3 linked regions of the Saccharomyces cerevisiae S288C genome follow. The protein of the gene in region 1 purifies or fractionates together with the protein of each later gene. This does not show direct contact. Each region holds a gene or a part of one and is shown in the gene's direction. Other genes may lie near its edges.

The links. Proteins that work in one complex are often made in the same cells at the same time.
Region 2: the proteins of PRP40 (region 1) and NAM8 purify together in Saccharomyces cerevisiae (affinity purification with mass spectrometry; 6 studies listed by BioGRID). This does not show direct contact.
Region 3: the proteins of PRP40 (region 1) and SNU56 purify together in Saccharomyces cerevisiae (affinity purification with mass spectrometry; 5 studies listed by BioGRID). This does not show direct contact.

What each region holds. Positions count from the first base shown.
Region 1 is NC_001143.9:416,543-421,461, forward strand, and holds PRP40 (snoRNA-splicing protein PRP40), read left to right. Parts: upstream 1-1,767; coding exon 1,768-3,519; downstream 3,520-4,919. Other genes in the region: URB1 (Urb1p), read right to left, coding at 1-371; ARC19 (Arc19p), read right to left, coding at 966-1,481; CCE1 (cruciform cutting endonuclease), read right to left, coding at 3,613-4,674; putative ubiquitin-protein ligase UFD4, read right to left, coding at 4,882-4,919. UniProt on the Saccharomyces cerevisiae protein: Required for pre-spliceosome formation, which is the first step of pre-mRNA splicing. This protein is associated with snRNP U1. Two commitment complexes, CC1 and CC2, have been defined in yeast. CC1 is a basal complex dependent only on the 5' splice site.
Region 2 is NC_001140.6:275,476-280,224, forward strand, and holds NAM8 (Nam8p), read left to right. Parts: upstream 1-2,677; coding exon 2,678-4,249; downstream 4,250-4,749. Other genes in the region: homeodomain family transcription factor STE12, read left to right, coding at 1-765; IPI1 (Ipi1p), read left to right, coding at 1,289-2,293. UniProt on the Saccharomyces cerevisiae protein: Component of the U1 small nuclear ribonucleoprotein complex (U1 snRNP) involved in the initiation of meiotic recombination. Involved in the formation of DSBs at recombination hot-spots through meiosis-specific splicing of REC107 pre-mRNA.
Region 3 is NC_001136.10:943,174-947,866, reverse strand, and holds SNU56 (Snu56p), read left to right. Parts: upstream 1-2,714; coding exon 2,715-4,193; downstream 4,194-4,693. Other genes in the region: AMD2 (putative amidase), read right to left, coding at 1-1,060; YDR239C (uncharacterized protein), read left to right, coding at 4,447-4,693. UniProt on the Saccharomyces cerevisiae protein: Component of the U1 snRNP particle, which recognizes and binds the 5'-splice site of pre-mRNA. Together with other non-snRNP factors, U1 snRNP forms the spliceosomal commitment complex, that targets pre-mRNA to the splicing pathway.

The sequences.
Region 1 (4,919 bases):
TTGTTCAACCCTCTATAGAGAACTTTTGTGTAATCGGTCAATATCAATCTAATTAGACCGCTCCCAATAGTCACTGTACTAGTATCAGATGACAAAACTCGTAAGGTTTTAGTCAGTAATGAGGTAGTTTTCGAGAATTTCCCATGGTTATTTACTTGAGCATAATATGACCAAGTCTGTACCAATTGAGCACCAAATCCTCTTTGGAAGAACACTATTAGAGGTTGGTAATCTTTGGAGAGAGTTTCATCTTCGACTGCACTGATTATACTTTCTAGTGTTTCTAATGTACCGTCTTCGAACTCTTTCCCTTGGGTGTACTTCTCCCTTCTCTGGTCGCGAGATCCATAGGCTTCGCTATGATTACTCATTATGTAAGTGCTCCTCTAGTTCTGTTAGATGAAGTAGTACCGCATAGATTAGAGAAATAATATCCAATCAAGAATATAACCGAACTATTCTTTGCGATGAGCTTTATTGCTGAAATTTTTCATATTTCGTCTACAGTGATATAATATTGAAATCCTCATGCAAGTCGTGCATAGGTAAAAGCTGTTTACTATATGTTGGTGCACTATTATCATATAATTTTAGTTTGGTCGTATACTAGTGCGGCAGTAATAATAAATGCTTTAGAATCTTCAATCTTCATTTGTTTACGTAAAATGAAAACGTTTTGTGTTAGAATTGACAGATTGAAGTTTAATTTTAGGTGTCGGGAGAAACATTTTAATCCCTTTTTATGAATATAATTTAAGTACTAAAAAAATCACCATAATTATACAAAGTAACTGCAATTTAAAAGTACGTTTATAATTAATTCACATACACATGTTATTGTATCTAACTAAATAGTCTCGAAATAGTTCAATTGAGTACGCAAACTAACACAGTCAGTACAGATCGTAAAGTTTTCCGTCAATAGGGCCCTGACGGAGAAAGATTCCCTTTCCTATATTAGGAATCTAATAGACAAATTCATCAAGATATGCTTCCGCAACAAATCTTGCTCTGGCATTCAAAAACAGTTTAATTTCACTGATTTCCTTATCCACGTCCTCCATGAATTCAATAATAAAATCAACCAATTTCCCAGTTTTCATTGATTCAGTATGCTTATTAGTTATTAGAAAAGAAATACTGTAGCCAGGTATTGGTACACGTCTCAGAATGTAGAATGCTTCAGCACGCTGTTCCAAAAATCTAGTAAACTTGTGAACTAAAATCTGCTCAATTTCATCTGCCTGTTTCACCATTAAACTCATACGCACCGAGTTTACACTGGGCTCAATCAATACTTGTTCATTTTCATTACGAGATATATGCATCGGTTGGAGCAACAATTCGGCGCTAGTGTTAGGGACTTCAACTTCCGGTCTGTTGTGCCTCTCCACTTCCTGCGAAGAGAAATTGCTCAAAGTCAACGCAGCTTCCAGGGAATAACGAACAGCCGTTAGATACGGACGTAATGATTGTGACATTTCCTACTATCAGTTGCTTCCTCTTTTATCTTTTGTCAAAGTGACACCGAGTTGTTCCGAAAGCCTCTATTTGCTTGGCTTTACAGGCTTTTTTTGTTCTATAATTGTATTTTGCTATACAAAAGGGGCGACGTGGTAAACGATATGAAATTATCGACAATAATAATGTACTTGGAAATCTGGCAGTTGATGACATCGCAATAGCGTGCCTACCTATCAGGATAACAAGGTCTGAAGCCAGATCGACCACTAGACAAGCATTGCCGGAGGTGGGAGACGTGAAACTATGTCTATTTGGAAGGAAGCTAAAGATGCAAGTGGAAGGATATATTATTACAATACTTTGACAAAGAAATCTACGTGGGAGAAGCCCAAGGAACTAATTTCTCAGGAGGAGCTACTTCTTCGAGAAAATGGCTGGAAGGCGGCCAAGACGGCAGACGGCAAAGTATACTATTATAATCCAACAACAAGAGAAACCAGCTGGACTATTCCGGCCTTCGAGAAGAAAGTAGAACCCATCGCAGAACAAAAACATGATACAGTATCCCATGCACAGGTTAATGGAAATAGAATAGCCCTTACGGCTGGAGAAAAACAAGAGCCGGGACGAACTATAAACGAGGAGGAAAGCCAATATGCTAATAACTCTAAACTGCTTAATGTCAGGAGAAGGACTAAAGAAGAAGCAGAGAAGGAATTTATTACCATGCTGAAGGAAAATCAAGTAGACTCTACTTGGTCATTCAGTAGAATTATTTCAGAACTGGGGACCAGAGATCCAAGGTATTGGATGGTCGATGATGACCCCTTATGGAAGAAAGAAATGTTTGAGAAATATCTTTCCAATAGATCAGCCGATCAACTTCTTAAGGAACACAATGAAACAAGCAAATTCAAAGAAGCCTTTCAGAAAATGTTGCAAAACAATTCTCATATAAAATATTACACCCGTTGGCCTACCGCAAAGAGACTAATTGCCGACGAACCAATATACAAACACTCCGTGGTCAATGAAAAGACAAAGAGACAGACCTTTCAAGATTATATAGATACCCTCATCGACACTCAGAAAGAATCAAAAAAAAAATTGAAAACACAGGCCCTAAAAGAACTAAGAGAGTATTTAAACGGTATTATAACAACATCATCCTCTGAAACTTTCATAACCTGGCAGCAGCTTTTAAATCACTATGTTTTTGATAAGAGTAAGAGATATATGGCGAACCGGCACTTCAAAGTCTTAACCCACGAAGATGTTTTAAACGAGTATCTGAAAATAGTAAATACGATTGAAAACGATCTTCAAAACAAACTAAATGAGCTCCGACTGCGCAATTATACCAGAGACCGTATTGCTAGAGATAACTTTAAAAGCTTATTAAGAGAAGTGCCAATCAAAATCAAAGCAAATACTAGATGGTCAGATATTTATCCTCATATAAAGTCTGATCCGCGCTTTTTACATATGCTTGGAAGGAATGGCTCGTCCTGCCTTGATTTATTTTTAGATTTTGTTGATGAACAAAGGATGTACATCTTTGCACAAAGATCAATAGCCCAACAGACGTTGATAGATCAAAATTTTGAATGGAATGATGCCGATAGCGACGAGATCACCAAGCAAAACATAGAAAAAGTTCTGGAAAATGACCGGAAATTTGACAAGGTGGATAAAGAAGACATCAGTTTGATTGTTGATGGTTTGATAAAGCAAAGAAACGAAAAGATACAACAGAAACTCCAAAATGAGCGTAGGATATTGGAGCAAAAGAAGCACTATTTTTGGTTACTTTTGCAAAGGACATATACAAAAACCGGTAAGCCCAAGCCTAGTACGTGGGATTTAGCTTCCAAAGAGCTTGGCGAATCTCTTGAATACAAGGCACTAGGCGATGAAGATAACATAAGAAGACAAATTTTCGAGGATTTTAAGCCTGAAAGCTCTGCACCGACTGCCGAAAGCGCTACTGCAAACTTAACGTTGACCGCGTCAAAAAAGAGGCATTTAACTCCGGCTGTGGAATTGGACTATTGATTCTGACGTGTCGACCTCTATCTTGTTAATCATTATATAAATTATACATAGAGATTACATGTTATTTCAAGTTTGCGATCACCGCACAATTTCTTAGTCATTGTTGTAAGTGTTCTGCAAAAATTTCAGCTTTTGTACCTTATTTTCACAAAATTCAAACACCTGTCCGAACTGTGTTTTAACCAGTGTTTTTGAATTCAAGAGTTCAGTAATACTTTCATAATTTTTTAACCACTCCATCCAAGACAAACAATGGAGGAATGAATCTGCCAAATCGTCATCTTTTCTCACCCCCGAATTATCTTGGATCTCTAGTATATCACATAGCTTGAAACTTTTTTTTTTGGTAAGGGCATTTCTTATCCTATTATTCCAAACTCCTATGAACTCGACCAGTTTTGTAGAACTAGTTGAATTACCTTCTAGTATTGAGGTTGAAAGTATTTTTTTCACTAGCTTTATTCGAGAATCTTTGCTATGTTTGTTAGATTTTAACTTTTTTGAACTGGTCGGTGTCTCTTCTCTTGGAATGCACCAATATGAAGTCATCCGATGTGGATCGGACGAACATACCATATACCTCAACTTGGACGTATTCGGTATTTTATTCGTATACTTCATTTTATTTTCCAAGTTAGAGAAAAGAATCTGTTCGAGAATATTCACTTTTAAAATTGGGTCTAAAATATGCCTCGAAGACATAGTTCTGGTACGTTGCCTTTCAATTGTAAACATATCTGGTATCGGCATAGATTCAAATAAATACTCCGTAAGGTTAAATACAAGCTCAGAAGTTTCAGCAGGATTCAAGCTTAACTTTTTGAGGTTTTGAAAAAATTTCTCCTCTAGATTTATCTTTTGCCAGTCTAGTACTTTAGGGAGCGGATCATTATTGAGCAATTGCATCTTAGAGAAAGCAAAGTTAGAAACACCAGCATCCATAGACAATATGTTAATTCTTCCCTCTCTTATCTTTTGTTGTCGTAACTTCTCCAAAAATTCACACTGTTCTTGAATGTAGGTTCTTTTAGCTTCTTTCGTCGTGCCATTTACTGCTCCAATAACAAATGATAAAGATTTCAGTTGTGTGCTTTTTGCATTTTGGCAGCAGGAATCGATGAGTTGCAATATCTTAGCTTTCTGTGCTGTCGACATATTACTATCTTTTTTAGCTTTAGACTGTATAACCGTAAGCCTTCGTTGTATGCAATGGATAAACAAATATGGAATCGCCAGTTGAAACAAAAAAATGAGAAAAGTACGGATAATCCGAAGAAATTTAGTCTGATTCCATCCATTTTTTGTATCTTAAGAAATAATTTTGAAGTCATATAAAACTTAAATAGAAAAAGTAACTAAAATTTAGGAAAGTAGAAAAGCTCCTGCACCCTCTTCAATGG
Region 2 (4,749 bases), on another chromosome or scaffold:
GGCCAGCAAACTAAACAACACCAATTATATTCTAACAACTTCCAGCAATCTTACCCAAACGGAATGGTTCCAGGATACTACCCAAAAATGCCGTATAATCCCATGGGGGGGGATCCTCTACTCGATCAAGCCTTTTATGGCGCGGACGATTTTTTCTTTCCACCAGAAGGATGTGATAACAATATGCTGTATCCACAAACTGCAACTTCATGGAATGTTTTGCCCCCTCAAGCTATGCAACCAGCTCCAACCTATGTTGGGAGACCATACACACCGAATTATAGATCGACACCAGGTTCCGCGATGTTCCCATACATGCAAAGTTCAAATTCCATGCAGTGGAACACTGCTGTTTCACCTTATAGTTCGAGAGCACCATCTACAACTGCTAAAAACTATCCTCCTAGCACATTTTATTCTCAAAATATAAATCAATACCCACGGCGAAGAACTGTGGGAATGAAGTCTTCACAAGGAAATGTTCCAACAGGTAATAAACAATCTGTGGGCAAGTCTGCAAAAATTTCAAAGCCTCTACATATTAAGACAAGTGCTTATCAGAAGCAATACAAAATCAACTTGGAAACGAAAGCCAGGCCAAGTGCTGGTGACGAAGATTCTGCTCATCCTGATAAGAACAAAGAAATTTCGATGCCTACTCCGGATTCCAATACTTTGGTGGTCCAGTCAGAAGAAGGTGGAGCTCATTCACTTGAGGTAGATACCAATCGAAGGTCCGATAAAAACCTTCCAGATGCAACCTGATATAATATAATTTTTGAATTTATGATACAAGAATTAAAAATGCGGGCCAGAATTTAATATTAAACAATACTCAGAAGAAAACAACAAGGACAATCTGTTTTTATAAATAAAACAATCTTATACAAGACTAGAGCAAACAAAAAGCAAGAAAAAAAGGTAATAAATGTAACAAATCTATTAACGTTAGAAAATAACAAAAAAAAAAAAAGAAAAAGATAATATAATATAATACCTTTATATATGTGATTTATCTAGCGTCACAGTATGTAATATAAATATCAATGAGTTTCTTAACATGACCTCCAAAACTACATGATCGCTTAGTATTACAATATGTGTTTATCCACTATTTTGATACCAACGTAGTATTGCCTTTTATTTTTCAGAATGGCAAAGGCCATCGGAAAATTTTTCCACCAGAAAAAGCGAGATTCCTAATTATAAGGTGAAGGCATCGATGTTCATAATAGTTAAAAGTTGTAATCAAAAAAGAAAAAGGTGCAGAGATAAACAAAGTTAATAAATGACAAAATCAAGAAAGCAGAAGCAAAAAAAGCAGGATTTTTTGAGAAAAAAGTTAAAAGTTGGTAAGCCAAAGGAAAAAGCAAGGAATGCTACCGATACATCTTTCGTTTCCAAGACTATTTCTATTAGAAATCAACATTTAGACCAAAATCCACATGATTTAACAAAACGGCTAACGCTCTTAAAGCATCATAACATCAATGTGAGAAAGGAAACATTAACAACATTCCAAAAGTCAATACCGTCTATAATAAAATCTCGACTTATGACACCATTACTTACTCAAAGTATACCGTTGATTTGCGATGAATCGCAGCAAGTACGTCAGGGACTTATTGATCTCGTAGATGAAATAGGTAGTCACGATGCGGAGATTTTAAAATTGCACTGCAACATTTTTGTCTTATACATTAACATGGCAATGACACATATTGTTACACAAATTCAAGCAGATTCTACTAAATTTCTCTCTCATCTGTTGAAGTATTGCGGAGATGAAGTGGTTAGGAAATCTTGGGTAAAACTTTTGAACGGTGTCTTTGGAGTGCTCGGTTGGGGACAGGTAGGGAAAAATGATAGCGCTAGCATAGTGCAAACGAAGAAGCGAAACGCCAAATATGTCACTATTCATCTCAATGCTCTGTACACTCTTGTTGAATACGGATGTCAGGATGAACGCGCTAGAAGCGACGGAGACACGGCAGAGACTACAGAGGACAGCGGTACGCTACGAAACCCATATTTAATCCCAGATTATCCGCAGCCGTTTGAGCACTTGAAACTATTTACCAGAGAATTGAAAGTTCAGGATGCTACCTCCAGTGGAGTAAATGCCACACTACTGTCATTGGCAACACAGGATATCGATACTCGAAAAGCGGTATTTATCGAACAATTCCTGCCTATAGTACGTAAGAAAATCGAAGTAATTATCAAGGAAGGTGGTGAATGTGGTAAAAGTGCAAACAAGCTTAAAACGCTGCTTGCAAAAATCTTTGATTGACGTTTCATAAGAATACAATATATAATTGATAGATTGTACTTTTTTTTTTGTTACCCTCAGGAGAGGCAGGGCGAAAAATGCAGAATCTTGGATTTTTTTTAAGTAGATCTAAGTTTGTTTATTTTTCAAATACTATTGGCACAAAGGGAAGGGCTTTTCAGGGATTATTCAGATTCGAGTTGGTGGTGAAATTGTGTGTGCGTACATCCTTATATCAGAGCTTTCCTTTAGTGACAACATTTAAATCGACGTGACCTTATTCGGGTAGTCAAACACCGAACCATATTCTTTGCCCTTAGGTTACTTTCCCTTCATTTTATCAGCTTAGTCGATTAAGTTCGTGTCTATATCCCGTCAAAAGTTCCTAATACATTGCGGGTACAAATGTCCTATAAACAAACAACATATTATCCTAGCAGGGGTAATCTGGTAAGAAACGACTCATCTCCGTACACTAATACTATTTCCTCAGAAACCAACAATAGCAGTACAAGCGTATTGAGTCTTCAAGGCGCATCTAACGTGAGTTTAGGGACCACTGGTAACCAATTGTACATGGGCGACTTGGATCCTACATGGGATAAGAATACCGTTAGGCAAATTTGGGCATCTCTGGGAGAAGCGAATATTAATGTCCGGATGATGTGGAATAATACGCTTAATAATGGGTCGAGATCATCAATGGGTCCAAAGAATAATCAAGGATATTGCTTTGTTGATTTTCCCTCATCTACTCATGCAGCAAATGCACTTTTAAAGAATGGTATGCTTATACCCAATTTTCCAAATAAAAAATTGAAATTAAACTGGGCTACATCCTCATATTCAAACAGCAACAATTCTCTTAACAACGTGAAGAGTGGTAACAACTGTTCTATATTTGTTGGAGACTTAGCACCAAATGTTACAGAGTCTCAATTATTTGAACTTTTCATTAACAGATATGCTTCTACTTCTCATGCCAAAATTGTGCACGACCAGGTTACCGGGATGTCTAAGGGCTACGGTTTTGTAAAGTTTACCAATTCTGATGAACAACAGTTAGCTCTGTCAGAAATGCAAGGCGTATTTTTAAATGGTAGAGCCATAAAAGTAGGACCCACATCTGGTCAGCAGCAGCATGTCAGCGGTAACAACGATTACAACCGTAGTTCTTCGTCACTAAACAACGAAAATGTAGACTCGAGATTTCTTTCCAAGGGTCAATCATTTTTAAGCAATGGAAATAATAACATGGGCTTTAAGAGAAACCATATGTCTCAATTCATTTATCCAGTCCAACAGCAGCCGTCTTTAAACCACTTCACTGATCCGAATAACACCACTGTGTTTATCGGAGGATTGTCATCACTGGTGACTGAAGACGAATTACGTGCTTATTTCCAACCTTTTGGCACGATAGTCTATGTCAAAATTCCGGTAGGCAAATGTTGCGGGTTTGTCCAGTATGTTGATCGGCTATCGGCTGAGGCTGCCATTGCTGGGATGCAAGGGTTCCCCATTGCAAATTCAAGAGTTAGACTGTCTTGGGGCAGGTCTGCTAAGCAAACAGCGTTGCTTCAGCAAGCCATGTTAAGTAACTCTTTACAGGTTCAACAACAGCAACCAGGTTTACAGCAACCTAACTACGGATACATTCCATCCAGTACGTGTGAAGCACCTGTTCTGCCAGATAATAATGTTTCATCCACGATGCTTCCTGGATGTCAAATTCTGAATTATTCTAATCCATACGCTAATGCGAATGGATTAGGCTCGAACAATTTCAGTTTCTACAGTAATAATAATGCTACAAATACGCAAGCTACTAGTTTACTGGCTGACACTAGCTCTATGGACCTCTCAGGCACGGGTGGCCAACAAGTTATCATGCAAGGAAGCGAAGCGGTTGTTAACAGCACTAATGCAATGTTAAACCGTTTGGAACAAGGCAGTAATGGTTTTATGTTTGCTTGAGCCACACGTGTATATAAAAATGTTTGTTTTCCTTTTGGCCCTTTTTCTTTCTTGGTATTTTCTTTACTTCAGTGTTAAATTGTATTTGGTCTTAGGCTGACGGTGATATAACAGCGCTTTATTTTCTTTTTTTCATTGCTTTTTATCGTTTTCAAGATTCCATGTCCTTTTATTAAGTCTTTTTTGTATCGTTATAGTTGCGTTTTTCCTTTTGATTTTCATTTCTTTCAAGGTTATTGTTATTCTTAATTCAATTCAAGATTGTACGCTTTTAAGCATGTTTATGATTTTCCTTTATTACTTCCATTTACCTTCTTTCCATCACTACTCATTACGGCCTGTCAATTCCTTTTTTGCGTCACCTTCATTTTTTCTTCTCTGTTCTTTTCTGTATTTGTCGAAAATTTTATATTGATGTATCTTAATTTTATTTTTAGTATTATTATACTGTAAATGTTTCTTACTGTGTCAAGATTTCCCGTTGCGCTATCTTCCAAGAC
Region 3 (4,693 bases), on another chromosome or scaffold:
CCTTCATTCCTTTAGTTTTATTAACTAGGTCTTCGCACGTCTTTAAAGCCCTGATGTCACTGGGCGGAGGATCAATAACGCCGTCACCATACCATATTCCAACAACATAATTATCGTGTAATTTACTTGTAGAGGAATCAAAATGGTATGGAATACACTTGACGTCTTGTACCCATGGTTGACAGATGTTGATAACGCAACTCATGAAGTATCTCAAATCCGAAAGATCTCTTGCCAACGGCCCAATTACACTGGGAATTGTTTCCCTTCCCTCAAATGAATTATCCACCCTCAAGTAAGGGACGCGTCCAAAAGTTGGTTTCAAACCAAATAATCCTTGGTAACTACTAGGAATTCTGATGCTTCCGCCTATATCAGTTCCTAGTCCCAGCAAGGAACCATGAGCACCAATTAACGAACCCTCTCCACCAGAAGATCCACCACTGGAGAAGCTTAAATTAATACTATTATATGTGTACCCAAAGGTGTTAGATTGTGTATCTGTAGCCATCATCGATGAAGGTACGGTGGTTTTTACAAATATAATAGCTCCTAAATCTCTCAGAAAACTGACAATCAATGATTCTTCATTCTTGGTTTTTGGTTTGAAAGTTCGACATAAATAACCCAGTGAGGTGTCTACACCCTCAACGTTACATTGGTCTTTGAGAGATATCGGTATACCGTACAAGGGTGGCAATATGGCTGGTCTATTGCTGTCGTAATAGTCAGCCAATCTCAATGCCTCTGAAAACATGATTTCGGATAGACAATTCACTACTTGATGAATTAAAGCAGCCCTATGACAAAATGCAGCTGTTATTTCATGGCAGCTTAACTCTTTTGCTTCCAGTGCCTGTCTCAAGGCCATAATCGTGGAGTGGGTGATCTGATTTTCTGAAGATGAGCATAAATCATCGATATTCTTGATTAAATTTTTTTTATCGTTCTTCAACCTCGTTATAGTTGTGCTGTTTAATTTCCATTCGTCTTTTATCTTACTGTTCAGTTGATCTTTTTTTAATTGAACTTTTTCCTTCCACGTTGAGTGCACAGTCATTGTATAACTTTGGTACCGTGTTGTCTGTCGTTAATAACAGGTCAGAGCGGCTGTCCCTTCCACTCCCCATTGAAAAAAAAGTATTTACTCGACTATATATATGTAATACGCTTTTGAATACTAAAATAATGTTATCAGTAATCTTATCTATTATTATCATATTATCATATTATTAGCTATTATTATATCATGAGCAATTCGCGCGCGCGGCATTTGAGATAGCAAACTTAATCCGTCACACAGATAATACTACAAATTATGACACATAATACTCCCGGTACTCAATAATATCTCATTGTTCGGTCACGAATGTGTCATTGACTATCCAATAGAGAATCAAATACAACGACTACTGGGAACTTATCTCCAGAAAGCCGGCTAAAAGTAGGTGCTTGACATAAAAAAATCTCCCGGGGGCGAGTCGAACGCCCGATCTCAAGATTTCGTAGTGATAAATTACAGTCTTGCGCCTTAAACCAACTTGGCTACCGAGAGTCGATTTCTTGCGAGGTGTTGTATCTCAAAATGAGATACGTCAGTATGACAATACGTCATCCTAAACGTTCATAAAACACATATGAAACAACCTTATAACAAAACGAACAACATGAGACAAAACCCGTCCTTCCCTAGCTGAACTACCCAAAAGTATAAATGCCTGAACAATTAGTTTAGATCCGAGATTCCGCGCTTCCACCACTTAGTATGATTCATATTTTATATAATATATAAGATAAGTAACATTCCGTGAATTAATCTGATAAACTGTTTTGACAACTGGTTACTTCCCTAAGACTGTTTATATTAGGATTGTCAAAACACTCCGGTATTACTCGAGCCCGTAATACAACACGAGGGCTTGAAATATGTTTCTTATAATTAATATCAAACTTGTTTGGAGGTTCCTATGACAGCGCCTCATAACTCGTGTCATCTTTGTACTTGTTAGAGATTGTTGGGACAGATGAACATTAACTTTTCATAAGATATTACAATAGCAATATAAATACTTAAATGGTATACTATAGTTCTAATGGAATTCTAGCATCATCTATTTAGTAGTATTTATATTATTAGTATATTATCGCATACGGTATAAGAAGATGTAGTTTACTTGCTTCAAACCAGTGACCTGAGAAAGGGGTGAATAATTTGATGATTGTTGGGATTCAATCCTTGGTAAAGGTATAATATTATGAATGAATAATGTACTAGAAGCTCTCCCCGAGATATAAGAACCCGCAAAAGAGGATCGGTATTCTTACGTAATAATATTATAATCTCATCTTCCATTTTTTATGTGACATTATCCTATTACATCATGAGTTGTTGCATTTCCTCTTCCATTTGATGACTGTCTTTCAATCTTTATGTCATCTTCTTACACCGCATTTGATAATATACTACTAACACGAATGCTAATAAACAGATGATATTTTGGATTTTTACTCCAACATGATCTTTAATTACTTCTTCATATTTCTTATTCTCATGATTGCTACTGGTTTGTTGTAACCTTTTTTTTATTTGAGCTAGAATTTTCAGCGCGCATCGCAGTGTAGAAAACATTAAAGTTATATTATATACTATAGTAGAAGTTTGACGTTGAGAAACAGTTTCCCTTCGACTAATATAAGCAAAAAATATTAGTATCATGCGCCCAAGAAGGAGAGGATTAGCGTATCATCATACCAAGCCGAAGGGACAACTTTCACAAGGACATTATCCTACGACATCCAATGATGGCCAAAGAAGGAAGGTCGGTAATTCTGAAGCATTCCAATCTTTTGATATATGGAAAAACCTAGATAGGATAAGGTCGACTAAGAAGAATGCAGGGCAATTCATAAAAGGTAGTCTGCTCATACTCCCCATGAGAACGGAAGATAAACAACAGTTCGACGAGTGCATGGATGAATTGCATAAGTATATATCGAAGGATATATTACGATGTTATCCACAGAAAGAGCAGAAAGATGAAGGCATGCTTTTCTACATAGTTTTGAAGGACTTCAATATATTGGACTCTTGCTTCGTATTATCAGTTCTGCTTGCTTTCCAGAAGCGATTATGGATGGCACCATCCGAAAAATCATACTTTAGAGTTCCTAAGAATATTAACTTGACAGGTTCGTTTTATTTGCCCAAGAATATAGAAACTGGTAGAGGCCATATAATAACAAGCTATAGAAGAGAGCAGCCCTCATCCAGTATTGTAGAAGTTGGTTTCAATGTTGTTCCAGATTTTCAACAGTTTCAAGTTAAGGCTTGTCATGTAAGTAAGTTCATGAATGAGCTTTCTAATTTTTTTTCACAAGTAGAATTTGGCAAGTGTGAAGCTAACGTGATAAACTACTTTAAGCGTGAATATAACCGCACTTATTCACAGATATCACTTGCCCTCTACGAACTTCCATTAATTGGCGATGGCTTGTTTGATATAAAGTCGTACATTAGTAAAACCAGGCCAATTATAGAAACATCAAAAGCTCAAATGATTAAACATATTTCTGAAATGAAGGCATATAACGAAATAAGTGGCCTTCAAGGAGATCAATTTCCACGACAACAAAGACCTTTATCGAATTCGCCCTCTTCAAATTCAATTTCCTCTTCTCAAACTATTGAAGCAGGTGCAACTTCATATCAAACACAACCACAGAGACACGCTGTTAATAAGCCATCAAATGTATTGAATTCTTCCAATCGTCATTCCGGGCCAAAAACTTTTGAGGACGGAAGGTATAGTGAAGGTAATAAACCGGGTTTTATGACGCAGGATGAAATCAAACAACATTGCATTGGTACCATAAAAGCTTCTATGGATGCAGTGAAAAAGAAGTCTTCGTATCAGATTCTAAAGACATACGTTAGGTGTCCAAGACAAAATTATATTGATATTGTTTATCAAAATCTAAATGATCTACGATCAAAGACAAATTGTAATATCGTCGTATTGAATCTGAATAATCTTCACGAGTCACAAATGTGGCTTGAATCTTTAAATACAACAAATTACACTATTTTTGCTCAGGCGCCTCACCCAAGTACCATCCGCGTTATTAGTATTGGTGGAGTCGGTGAATATATAGTCAAAGCATTAGAGCTGATATTGAATATATTAGAACATTGAGTCGCATATAACAGTGGAGGTGTATAGATATATTTAAAAAACCTTTTGGTTATTTTTTCTCTTTCATGGCATTTGCTCCGTATGCAAAGCGATAGTTTAATTTAATGTTTTCTTTCAAATGTCATCGCGGATTCAAAGAGCGCACTATTATTATTTGGCAAAAGTTTAAGAGGGAAAATGTTGAAATAGCATGTTCTGCAAAGCGAATTACAGGTTTTGAAGGAGTCTACAGGTAAAGTCTAATAATACAGTGATGTTTGATGGCTTTAGCAACAATAAAGGTAAACGAAGGTCTTTTTTTCGGTTTGGTTCTGAAAGTAAAAACAATGACTCTGAAAAATCCGTTAGAAAGCCATCGGTGCCCTCTACAATAAAGAAATCAACAAATATCGCACGAACTTCGACGGCTGAAACTTCTGCCCCTGATATACCGCCAAGAAGTCCAAATAGGAATGCTCATAGCAGGAGCCATTCTATCCAGGCACCATTACAAAAGGAAA